Mus musculus: one gene and its partners. The protein of the gene in region 1 interacts with the protein of each later gene in a biochemical or structural test. Links are inferred from orthologs where the notes say so. Each region holds a gene or a part of one and is shown in the gene's direction. Other genes may lie near its edges. The genes, in order: Prkcz, Pard6b and Ywhaz.

Evidence for each region.
Region 2: the proteins of Prkcz (region 1) and Pard6b form a complex in vitro, tested with the Homo sapiens proteins (2 studies listed by BioGRID). The link is inferred for Mus musculus from reciprocal best matches to the Homo sapiens genes PRKCZ and PARD6B.
Region 3: the proteins of Prkcz (region 1) and Ywhaz form a complex in vitro, tested with the Homo sapiens proteins (2 studies listed by BioGRID, with this or other methods). The link is inferred for Mus musculus from reciprocal best matches to the Homo sapiens genes PRKCZ and YWHAZ.

What each region holds. Positions count from the first base shown.
Region 1 is NC_000070.6:155,260,359-155,264,005, reverse strand, and holds part of Prkcz (protein kinase C zeta type), read left to right. Parts: intron 1-1,188; coding exon 1,189-1,304; intron 1,305-1,474; coding exon 1,475-1,562; 3' UTR 1,563-3,647. UniProt on the Homo sapiens protein: Calcium- and diacylglycerol-independent serine/threonine-protein kinase that functions in phosphatidylinositol 3-kinase (PI3K) pathway and mitogen-activated protein (MAP) kinase cascade, and is involved in NF-kappa-B activation, mitogenic signaling, cell proliferation, cell polarity, inflammatory response and maintenance of long-term potentiation (LTP).
Region 2 is NC_000068.7:168,097,874-168,101,620, forward strand, and holds the end of Pard6b (partitioning defective 6 homolog beta), read left to right. Parts: intron 1-510; coding exon 511-1,337; 3' UTR 1,338-3,330; downstream 3,331-3,747. UniProt on the Homo sapiens protein: Adapter protein involved in asymmetrical cell division and cell polarization processes. Probably involved in formation of epithelial tight junctions.
Region 3 is NC_000081.6:36,791,783-36,795,529, reverse strand, and holds the start of Ywhaz (14-3-3 protein zeta/delta), read left to right. Parts: upstream 1-991; 5' UTR 992-1,385; exon of another isoform or gene 1,386-1,610; intron 1,611-1,851; exon of another isoform or gene 1,852-1,854; 5' UTR 1,855-2,051; intron 2,052-3,747.

The sequences.
Region 1 (3,647 bases):
GGTGTCTCATTAGGGGTAAGGAGTCATTGTGTCCCTCCGTCCCCAGGCACACAAGGGCAAATGTCGAGTCCTTGTAAGTTACCCAGTCTTGGGCCTTCCATCTAACAGCAGGACTGCACTGGGACCCTTACCTCTCCTTACTCATCAATCACTTACCCACGTGTGCGGTACGCCTGTCGGATCAGGTTTGTTTCTAAGAACTGAGATGCATCTATAAGCCAGACACTGATCCCTGCCACAGAGCCTAAATGTACTAGGGAACATCACATCAGCTCCACACCAGCCACATAATGCCTGCATCCCAAGCCCGTGCAGGGCAGTGTGGCCCATAGGACAGATCTTCACATCGTTCTGGGACCCGTTGTCAGCCACCTTCCCCTGAAAGAGCAGAGTGAATGCTGGACAGAAGGCTGGGCACCAAATCCTCAGGGATGCCCCCACTGTGTCATTACCCCTGTGTAGCCCAAGAGCCCTGCTTGATAAAGAGCAGCTGTATCTTTTGGCTGTCCTGGAACTCGCTCTGTAGACCAGGCTGGCCTCGAACTCAGAGACCCACCTGCCTCCCCAGTGCTGAGATTAAAGTCATGCACCACCACCACCTGGTATGAGTGTGATACTGAGAGGATTTCTTGCCACATACATCTCGGTACCACGTGGCACATGCCAGACACCAGTCTCTCCTGATGGCTGTTCATTCCCTGCTGGGCTAGAGGGTCCAACTCTAAATAGTAAAAGATGGAGACAGAGTTAGAATGAGGAGAGGATTGAAGGTGGACTTTCCCCGTGCCCATCTAGGTGAGGATGTTGTCACACCCAAATACCATTATGATCAGGTTCTGAGACCAGAGAGAGAGAGCACTCCTGTGTAAGCAAGCTTTCAGACACCAGCAGTAACATTGTTTCTAGGCACTTGTGCGCACGAGCTTTCAGCCGCCAGTGGTAACATTGTTGCTAGGCACAATGGGGCCTATATGTCCAGCACCTTTTTAACCTGTTTACTTTTCCTGGTACTGCATATTTTCTTCTAGAGTCTGTGCTTTTAGGGGTAAAAAATGGCATTCAAATACCAGGCATGTTGAAAAACTGAGCTTCCCATTTTATTTTGTGATTTATGTGCACACAAAGATCTGATGCTGGCAGAGAGGATGCTCAGCACCCATCTGACCTCTCTCTTGTCAATGTTCCCAGCTGGAAAAGAAGCAGACCCTGCCTCCCTTCCAGCCCCAGATCACAGATGACTATGGCCTGGACAACTTTGACACGCAGTTCACCAGCGAGCCTGTGCAGCTGACCCCAGATGATGAGTAAGTCCCGGGTATCCTGACCTGCCCCGACAAGTGTCACAGTGGAACGTGTCCTAAGCAGCTAGAACCCCTGGGCCAGTGCATGGCCCCATGCTTGGGTCCTTGCCTCTAGAGTGTGAACTAGGGGAGGGACACAGCTGCCAGTCTTCATCTGCTTCTTGTGTTTTTAGGGACGTCATAAAGAGGATCGACCAGTCCGAATTTGAAGGCTTTGAGTACATCAACCCACTTCTGCTGTCTGCTGAGGAGTCCGTGTGAGGCCATGAGCATCTCTGTTGTGGACACGCCTGTGAATGACCCTGTCACTTTACCCTTAACTACAGCATATGCATGCCAGGCCGGGCACCGAGGCTCCAAGCAGCCAGGGAGGGATGCTGGCCACCAAGACCGAAGAGGGGCGTCCAACAGGCACTTCTAGACAGAGCAATCTCTTGTGTCCAGGCCCCAGAGGCTGGCTTTGTGCTGGAGGAACCGCTTCCTGTGCACAGAGGCCCTACCGGAGGGTGAGACAGCCAGCCACGCCGTTTGGAAAGGTGCACATCTTCCACAGAAACAGAACTCGATGCACTGACCCGCTCCAGGAAAAGTTAGCGTGTAATGCCCTGAGGAATAAAGTGTACCGATGATGTCGAAGCTTCCTCTGATGCCTTTTTTCTGTGGCACCCGCCTGATGTCCCCAGCGCAGCCCCCACATGAGGAGGAGCTGCGCTTTCTGAGCAGTCAGGACGTAGGCAGGGGACAGGCACCCAAGTGCCTGCAGGGATGCGCTGCAACAAGAATTGTTACAGATTCGGAACGTTTTCTAAATCCCGGTAAGTTCTGTTGTTAATATTTAACAAGTATTTTCATACCTAGCACAGCTAGCCATGGTAGGCCAAGGCCGAAGGGACACCCTTACCAGGTTGGTGGCACTGTTCCCACCAACTGTTTGGACTCTGATGGGGAAAATTGGATCATAGAGATTCTAAAACATTGCTCACCAAAGCATCAGTAAACCAAATAAATAGGTAAATAAATAAAAAGGGAAAATAATTGAAAACTAAATCCGCACAAAATATATTTCTGAAAACACTAGCCAGTGCCTCCAAGACATCTTGTGTTATACATTAGATTTTTTGGAAAATATTTTTATCATTAATACTCCAGATTAGGAAATTTAAAGACAACGTGTGTGATGGACCCTAGCCTTAAAGTGACAGACTACCCATAATCTCACACTCTTCCTGAGGAAGCACGCCTGCTTCCATAACTGCTGTGCTCAGCCATCCTCCTCTCCAGCTTAGTTCCAAAGGCCAGCCCAAGGCTTTCTGGGAAGAGGTCAGCTAACGTTACCCTTAGCAGGTCGGGTGTGGCCATGGCTTACCCACCTTTGTCGTGGGCAGGAGATGGAGAAGGCACACCGCAGTGACTGAGCACCCCAGACCCACCCAAGCCAGGCTGGCCCATATGGCAAACATGCTACACACCCCCCCAACCCTGCCAGGTTGAGACCCTCAGTCTCCACGTCAGGGCAGAGTGGAGTCTAGGCTCCGGTCATATTTGCTTCATGCCTTGGGGTTGGTGGTCCTGACAAAGATCAGAGTTGGAGAAAATGAAAATCTTAGAGGCGCTGTTACGGTGCTGCCCTGCTTCTCCGTGACGCCCAGTGGCCACCCACAGCCCTCACCCCAAAACACTCAGGTTTCTCAGGCCATCGCCATGTCTGGCACTGAAACGTGTCAGAGCCACACCCAGATCCATGGTGCTGGGACAGAACAGGCAGCCCAGGTTTCTGACACCATATCCCAAGTCCAGGCTTCTGGGTGGCTCTGTGTCTCCTATTGATCATGGACACATTTTAGCCAGCACTCCCTGTGTCCATTGGTAAGATATGTCCCCAACTAGTCAAAAAATGCAAATAGAGCCTAAGAGCCGATTTTTGGGCCTCCCAGGAGTACCCAGCCCAGCCTGGGGGCCTTCCAGGGGTACTTAGCCTAGTCTGGGGGTCCAAGTGGCTGGAGCCCCAGTCTGAGGCCTGTGTAGTCACAGCTGCCCATGAGTTGAGCTGCTAAGATAAAGAGCCCGCAGATGATCCAAATGCAAACGGGCTCCTGCGAGCCTCCTTTCCTCCCAGTGTGCTGCCTAGGGACAGCAACAACTGCTTTGCCCAAGCAGCACTGGAACCCTGGATTGTTAGACATGGGGGCTTATTTGGATACTGCCCTATTGCCAAATGACTTGCTGGTTACTGGTTCGGCTGCTCATGTACAAATGTGTGAATAATATTGTGCCCACCAGAGGGGGAGATTTTTATATATAGCAATTTGTTTTATAAATTAAAGAAAGTGAAGGATGTATTGAAAT
Region 2 (3,747 bases), on another chromosome or scaffold:
GGACACTGAGTCCGGCCTAGCAGTGTGAGACTCCACCTGAGAAAAGGGGGAAGGGAATGTGAGCCTGTAAGATTTGCCACAGGTTATTTTGTTGTTGTTTTGTGTGTTTTAGATTTTGAGACTGGGTTTCAGGACATAGTCCAGGGGAGCCCCAAACTTGCTGTGATATGATATAGCCCAGGTTGGCCTTGAACTTGGGATCCTTCTACCTTTTGCCCTAGGCTCCTGAGCAGGGGGATGACAACAGGTGTGTGGGCCACAATTGACTATCAGAATTTCACTGGCCAGTTAAGGTGTTCATAGCTAGTGATGTTTGTGATGTGTGAGAGGGCCCTCTAGTGTCTTCTGATGGCACGGCAGTCACTGGTGCAGTGACTGAGTCTGGCTGAGTAAGCAGCCACTCAAGCCGAGGTGGCCTGTGCATTGCCTGGCGTTGGTCTGCTGGGGCAGCTGTGGGCAGCTGTGTTTCAGCGGGTCTGTAACTGTCCCATGTCTGCTCTCTCCACGCAGAAGAAGCTGACTACAGTGCCTTTGGCACCGACACCCTGATCAGGAAGAAGAACATGCTGAGCAACGTGCTGCGTCCCGACAACCACCGGAAGAAGCCTCACATCGTCATCAGCATGCCGCAGGACTTCCGGCCCGTGTCATCCATCATCGACGTGGACATCCTCCCAGAGACGCACCGGAGGGTCCGTCTGTACAAGTACGGCACAGAGAAGCCGCTGGGCTTCTACATCCGGGATGGCTCCAGCGTCCGAGTGACACCGCACGGCTTGGAGAAAGTCCCCGGCATCTTCATATCTCGGCTCGTCCCTGGGGGTCTGGCCCAGAGCACGGGCCTGCTAGCTGTCAACGATGAGGTGTTAGAAGTCAACGGTATAGAAGTGTCCGGGAAGAGCCTGGACCAGGTGACTGACATGATGATAGCCAACAGCCGCAACCTCATCATCACCGTGCGCCCGGCCAACCAGAGGAACAACGTGGTGCGCAACAGTCGGACTTCTGGCAGCTCCAGCCAGTCCACTGACAACAGCCTCCTGGGCTTCCCACAGCAGGTGGAGGCCAGCTTCGAGCCCGAGGACCAGGACAGCGACGAGGACGACATCATCATTGAAGACAGTGGCGAGCCGCAGCAGATCCCGAAGGCCACCCCCGCCCAGAGCCTGGAGTCCCTGACGCAGATCGAGCTCAGCTTTGAGTCCGGACAGAACGGGTTCTCCCCTCCTCAGGACACGAGCCTGGTGCCTGTGCCCGGCAGCCTGGACACAGAGCTGGAAAGCCGGGCTCCGGACCAGAAACTCTTAGAGGAAGATGGGACAATCATAACATTGTGAACCACCAGGTTGTTTTCTGTTTGAGGGTGTAAGGAACAATGTTGGTGTGCACACATGACTGACACTGTGGACCTGCAGGCCCTGATGTTCCACAACAAGTGTGGCCGGGCTGGGCTGGGAGTCTGCCGAGGCAGGCTGCCGTGACACGGAGCAGGTGCTGCTGCTCTGAAACTGAGACCTGCCTGAGCCGAGCTGCGGTGGCCGGTGTCCACCTGCCTGCAGAGCCCGCTCCTTGCCCTCTGTGAAGTCTGATCATCTGCTAGCCACTGGGGACCTCGGTTCTTCGATTCCCAGACCCTGTTTTCTGACTTTTAAAGTGTTCCTCTGTTAACTGTGACAAATTATTTTTTCATGTGCAGTTTTTGTTCTGTCTTCCCATTTTCTAAAACTTTAGCTGGCCATGTCTAGGGGCCTTTCCCCTGGCCCTGGAGCGACACCTGTTGTCGTCACCCTGGAACTTTACAGTTTCGGGGTGCCATAGTCCTTCATTCCAGTCCAGTGGAGATTATTTCAGTGTGTGCTGTGCACGTGTGCGCATGTGTGTGTGTGTGTGTGTATGTGTGGTGTATGTGTGTGTGTGTGTGTGTGTTTGTGGGTAGGTGATAGCATAGTTAGTTGACTCCCACACTCTTCAGTGTACCAGACAGTGTGGATCATGGGATAAAAATGCCCCCAGGTTAAGAGACTTACACACGATATAGATGTGCACTTTTTATTCAAAAGACGGAGTTTTCTTCCTGGGGATTCTAGGGTGCTGCCCACATTTGGGGAAACCCGTGTCAAGTACACCACTCGCAGGGCTGGTGATTATTTGAGTCTATTTATTCTCTTCTGTGCGTCCATTTGGGATGAGGGGACCGCAGTTGTCTTCCCTTACCTGGCTCCCTCCTGTTGCATGCACAGTCAGCGAGACCCACGTGTGTGGCTCAGACTTCCCTGAGGCCCAAGGCTCTGAGGGGGACAGTTATTTATTTCTTAACCTTGTGGTGGCCGAGTGTGGGTGCCTCATAGGTGTGTACTGACTCCGAGTTGAAGGACTTTTTCCTCGTAGTAAGAGCCGGCAGAAATGAAGTCTTGATCCAATGAAGGGCACTGACTGAGCGAGTTATCTGCAGGCGCCTGGCGGAGGCTGGGTGCAGTGAGCCTGTGACTGTTGAATTCACTGAGTTTCTCCTCTCACACGGCACCCACCGCTTGCTAGCAGTGCTCCCCCTCGCTCCCCCTCTGACACTGCGCTCCCTGCAGTGGAAGGCAGCCATAGGCACAGAAGGCTCAGTTGCATATGTAACTTAGGGGTGCATGGGCTCAGCATTGTAAGTAAAGATATTTCACATACTACCTCTCTCTTCTCTCTTTCTCTCTCTTTTTTTAACAGAGTTTTAACATAGAACCTTTCTCTTGGGGGAAGAAATACTTCAGGGCTTGACTTTTGTACAAATTTTAACTGAAAAACAGATTTCTCTTCTGTCTGAAAACGGAGATCAGAGCTGCTGACGCTGATTTTAATTTCAAGGACAATAGTGTTTGTTAGTGATGAGGTCGTACCAATGAAGTCAATGTCAGTAGACCTTCTGTGAGGCCAGTGAGTCTTGGCTGTGGAGGTCCCGTCCCGTCCCGTCCCGTCCCGTCGGCTCAGTTCTTGAGACACCTCGGAACAGGAGCGTAAGCGTCGGCAGCTTAGCGTGCAGTTCTGTTGTCCCGAACGTCGAGCCTCACTGTGAATTCTGTTCTGTCCTAAGTCCGCCATGTCAACCAGATGCTGTGCTGTTGTGAACCATGAATTTTCTAATTAAATTTTACATGCTATAACATACATGCTATAACATGATTTTTACATGAATGATACTTTGTTTAAACTATTAAATGTCAGTATTTTACTACAATTTTATTATAAAATGTACATTATCACTAAATGAACTTTGATTTTAAGAATCAAGTTAGCTTTAGTTACATATTATTTTTTACAAATAAAAACGGACTTGTATAAAGGCTACTTTCTTGTTTGAAATTACATGAAGAGAGGATGTAAGGATGTTTGCCAAGCATCCTTAGTTACTGCATAGGGAGTGAAACTGAGTCACCACTGATTCCTTGACCCTTTTCCAGGGCTATGCTGAGCCCCAGGCCTCGGTCCCCACATCCCCCACCTGTCCAGGCTGAACCCCAGCTCGGGGCACTCGGTCTCTCGGAGCTGGAATGACAGACGCAGGCCATGTGGCCATTCCCTAGTTGTTTTGTTTTGGTTTTTAGTTTTAGGTCAGGTGCAGTGGCATGCCTTTGATGTCCAGAACTTGAGAGGCAGAGGCAGTCAGATCTCTGTGAGTCCCAGGCCAGCCTAGGCTACACACTGAGAACATATGTTAAGATAAGGTATTTTGTGTGTGCACACAGAAGTATATTTGTGTACATG
Region 3 (3,747 bases), on another chromosome or scaffold:
AAACTCACCAGTAACTTCCCCATACTTCAGGCCTATAGGCTCTGGGTTTTGGCTTTGCTACATATTATTCTTTAGAATTCTTCTCAGTTGACCTTCCATGGCAAATCTAATTCTGGCCCCCTTGCAGCCTTATTATGCCTTTATTAGGCAAACATGTTGATTGGAGTTTGTAAAAACTAAAAGCACCTTTTGGTTTATTAAAACACAAAGAAACCTTGCTAGTTAATGCACAAGGCAAAAGCCCAAACTATTTTCCAAAACAAGTCTGCAATTTATGCAGAGAAATCTCTTAACTTTCCCTGAGGTGTATATTCCATATAGACGTGTATTACAGACATTAACAGACATTTCCATTTTACAAAAGATTTAACCTAGTATCTTCTGTCAAATTTCTAGCACCTACTACAAAACTGCAAACATAAAAGCTTTTGAAATAGTCATTTTAAGTGAGTCACTCCCTGAAAGAATTTACATTACAGCCAAAGTAAGTTGACTTCAGTATCTTGGAGATAAAACCTGAATTAATTTGCTCATCTGCTTAGCATGTTATCTGTTGCTGTGGAAACCGGTGTGTGTGTTGGGAGGGGGGAGGGCGGTTGGCGAGGGGAGCGACACTGAACTGGTCACAGGCAAATCTCTACCTAGCTGTCATTTCAGGCAAATTATAATTTGTACAACAAACTTGTGATTCAAACAATGTAACCAACATTCTGATGAAAGACAGTGGTAGGGAAAGAATGCTTGTCATGAAGTCTTCCAGGGGGCTCTGGGGCTGAATTCCTGAGGTTCTTTTTCCAGTTGTGCTTAGTGTAGGCCCCAGAAGGGGCTCAGTGAAAATATTTTAGCTCAGAGGCGCACATTTAAAGAGAGCAAGGACAGATTCTTCATAGAGACTGCATCTCCTTTCAACTTCCGTCTCCTGGGTGGAGACCTTGCGGGTTCAGGCACCTGCAATTTCCGCCCTTTTCCTCCCCCCCCCCCCTTTCCGGGCGGAGGAGCCTCGCTCCTCCTCCAGCTAGAGCCCTAGGAACGGCCACGCTCCCTAACCTTGCTTCCAGGACCTAAAAGGGTCGGTCACTCTCTTACAATGCGCTAATTAGGAACAATGTGTCTCCCAATGAAAGCTCTACAGAGGGTAAAGTGCAGCCCACGACAACAGTTCGGTGTGTTCTAGCCTGTTTCCCCGCCTCGCCCCACGTCAGGCTTCTACGATCACGTCCAACCCGCTAGCCCAACCCTTTCCCCGCTCCTCCCAGCGACCACCCATTGTCCCCGCGGCTGTCACGGTGTGGACGCCGAGCTCGCGACTGGAAAGGCAGGGCGTCATTCAGCCTCGCGCTTTTCCCAGCCTTAAAAGGTCTAAGGCCGCTTCCTGCAGCCAGAAGGTAAAGCGGGCCGCCCGAGGGAGCAGCCGCGCCCGGGCCTCCCTGCCCCGGCGTTGGCGGAGCCGCTGCCCTACTCTCGGCTTCTGATCACAATGCCCTGGCAGTAGAGCTGCCTTCACCCTGCCCCGCAACCCGCCCACCGCCATTACCGGCGCAGAGAGAGGGCGGCCGAGCGGGAAGGGGGTGGGGGGGAACGCGAAGGTCCCGGATGTGCCCGCCAGTGAGGTGGGGGCGGGGAGAGGCTTCCTTCCGCGGGCCGCAGGGGCGGGGAGGGAGGGCAGCTCGCGGGGGCGGCGGGGAGCGAACCGAGCACGCGGGTGAAGGCAGGGTCGGGAGCGGAGCGGAGCGCGAGTACGCGCTCTCCTCCGCTCGCCCTCGGGCACGGGCGGGCCGGCCGGGCGCGCGCAGGGGAGCGGCGGTTGCGCCGGGCCGGAGAACTGTGGGCACCAATCAACGGTTGCCATAGCAGCGTTTGACGTCATCGTGCGTGTGGTGCCCCTGCTGCCGGGGCTAGTGATTGGAGGAAACCCCGTGTCTGCGGAGCGGCTGTAGCCTGTGAGCAGCCAGATCAGGGACAGAGTCTCAGCCTCGCCGCCACCGCTGCTGCCGCCGCCGCCCAGAGACCGCCGAGCCGCGTCCGTGTGCCGCCACCCACTCCGGACACAGGTGAGGAGCCGCCCGAGTCGGCCTCCGGTCCCTTCAGCCCGCCGCCGCGCTGCGGCCCGAGAGGGGTCTTCTCAGGAGGACCCGGGCGGCGGCTCGGCTCTGCCGGGCCCGGGCAGGCGCCCACCGCCGCCCCCGGCCGCTTGCTTCTGGCCTGCCGGGCTGCTCATCGCCCCGTTCTGGTCCCCGGGGTGGGGGTGGCGGATGAGGCGCCCACGCGCGAGACCCAGGGGCTCCCGCTCCCGAGGGCGACCGCGATCCGCCCCCGCCGGCACCCTGCTTCCGCCCGCGACTGTGACTCGGCCGTGGCGCAGGTGAGGCCGCCCCCACCCGGGGCGCCCCCGCCACCCCCTCCCCCACGGCGGGGGGCAGCCAGGTAGCACGCGGGGCTCTGGGGTGGGGCCCGCCAGGGACCCTGGGCTGGGCTCGCTGGGGCCCGCAATGCCAGAAAGGACTCTCGGGACGCGCGGTGGGGGAGGGGCGCGGCCAGAGCTAGGCGTGGGGGTACCGGGGCACGGGGTCCCCAGCGTCCTGGGCTGGTGGGAGGTTCGCATCTTTCCAGGAGCTGCGGCCCCAGGATGGGGGCTGCGCCTGTCTGGGTGGGGCCCTGCCCCTCCCCCTACCGCAGCTGTCGGGACATCGGGGCTTGGGTCGGACACCGGCGGAGGGGACCCTGGGCGGGAGCGGGGTGTGTCCGGCGCGGGCCGGCCGCGGTTCCGCTTCTGCGGGCGCGGATGGCATCGGGCCCCCGGGGAGGGTGATCTGCTCCCCCTCCACCACCACCCTCCGACTGGGGCGGGTGCACGGACTGCTCCTCCCTCTGCCCGGGTGGGGGGGCGATTCACAGTCGGAGTAGGTTGGGCTCCTTGACACAGTTCCGCCATGACAAAGAGAGTCGGGGACTAGCGCGGAGGCACCAGCCTGGGCGGAGCCAAGGAGGGGAGGTGGCTGCGGATGGCGCGGACGCAAGGACTAGCGCTTTAAAGTCACCGCTGCGCGGTTTCGGTTCGCCCCACCCTCCGGCCTCAGGCAGCCAAGGGTTAAGTGGGTGCGGCGAGTATTCCCGCAGTCTGAAGGCGAGGCCCAGGAGCGCTCGTTTTCCTGTGAGAAACCTAATCCACTTCCCCTTATCCGGGAGGTTGGCGGGGGAACGTTTGTACTGACTTAGGCTTACATCATTTTTGGAAGCAACATTTACCAGTGACCGTTTCTAATGTTAGATTTCGAGACCCCGGGGGAAGTATGGGTTCACAAATTTTAAATAGTTAATGCACGGAAGGTACTGTGTCTCGAATTTAAGCTAGCCCTATCCGTGTTTCTGTTCTGGACACTGCTCATTTGGCTACCAAAAAGAGGTCCTTTCTGGAAAGGTAAAGGAAAGAATTTCCATGGTGGGCGGCAGTGACTCTTTATTCCTACACTTAGTGCATTCAGGTTGTGACTTTTCATTAAAGTGTATTTTGTGGGATCACTATATGATTTAGAATTTTGCTCTTGGAATTGTTGAAGAAATGAGAAGTAAATTGGAATCTAGGGAACTTTAAAATTGAGCGAAAGAAAACTGGGGAAATATGAGGAAGACCAGCTTGAGGAGTTGTGACTGCTAGAAATCCTGCCGTGACTCCAGACTGCAGCAGGCAGCAGACATCGGAAGCGCTTGGCTCCCTCCATGTGCTGTGGACGCCCTAGTGCTCACTCA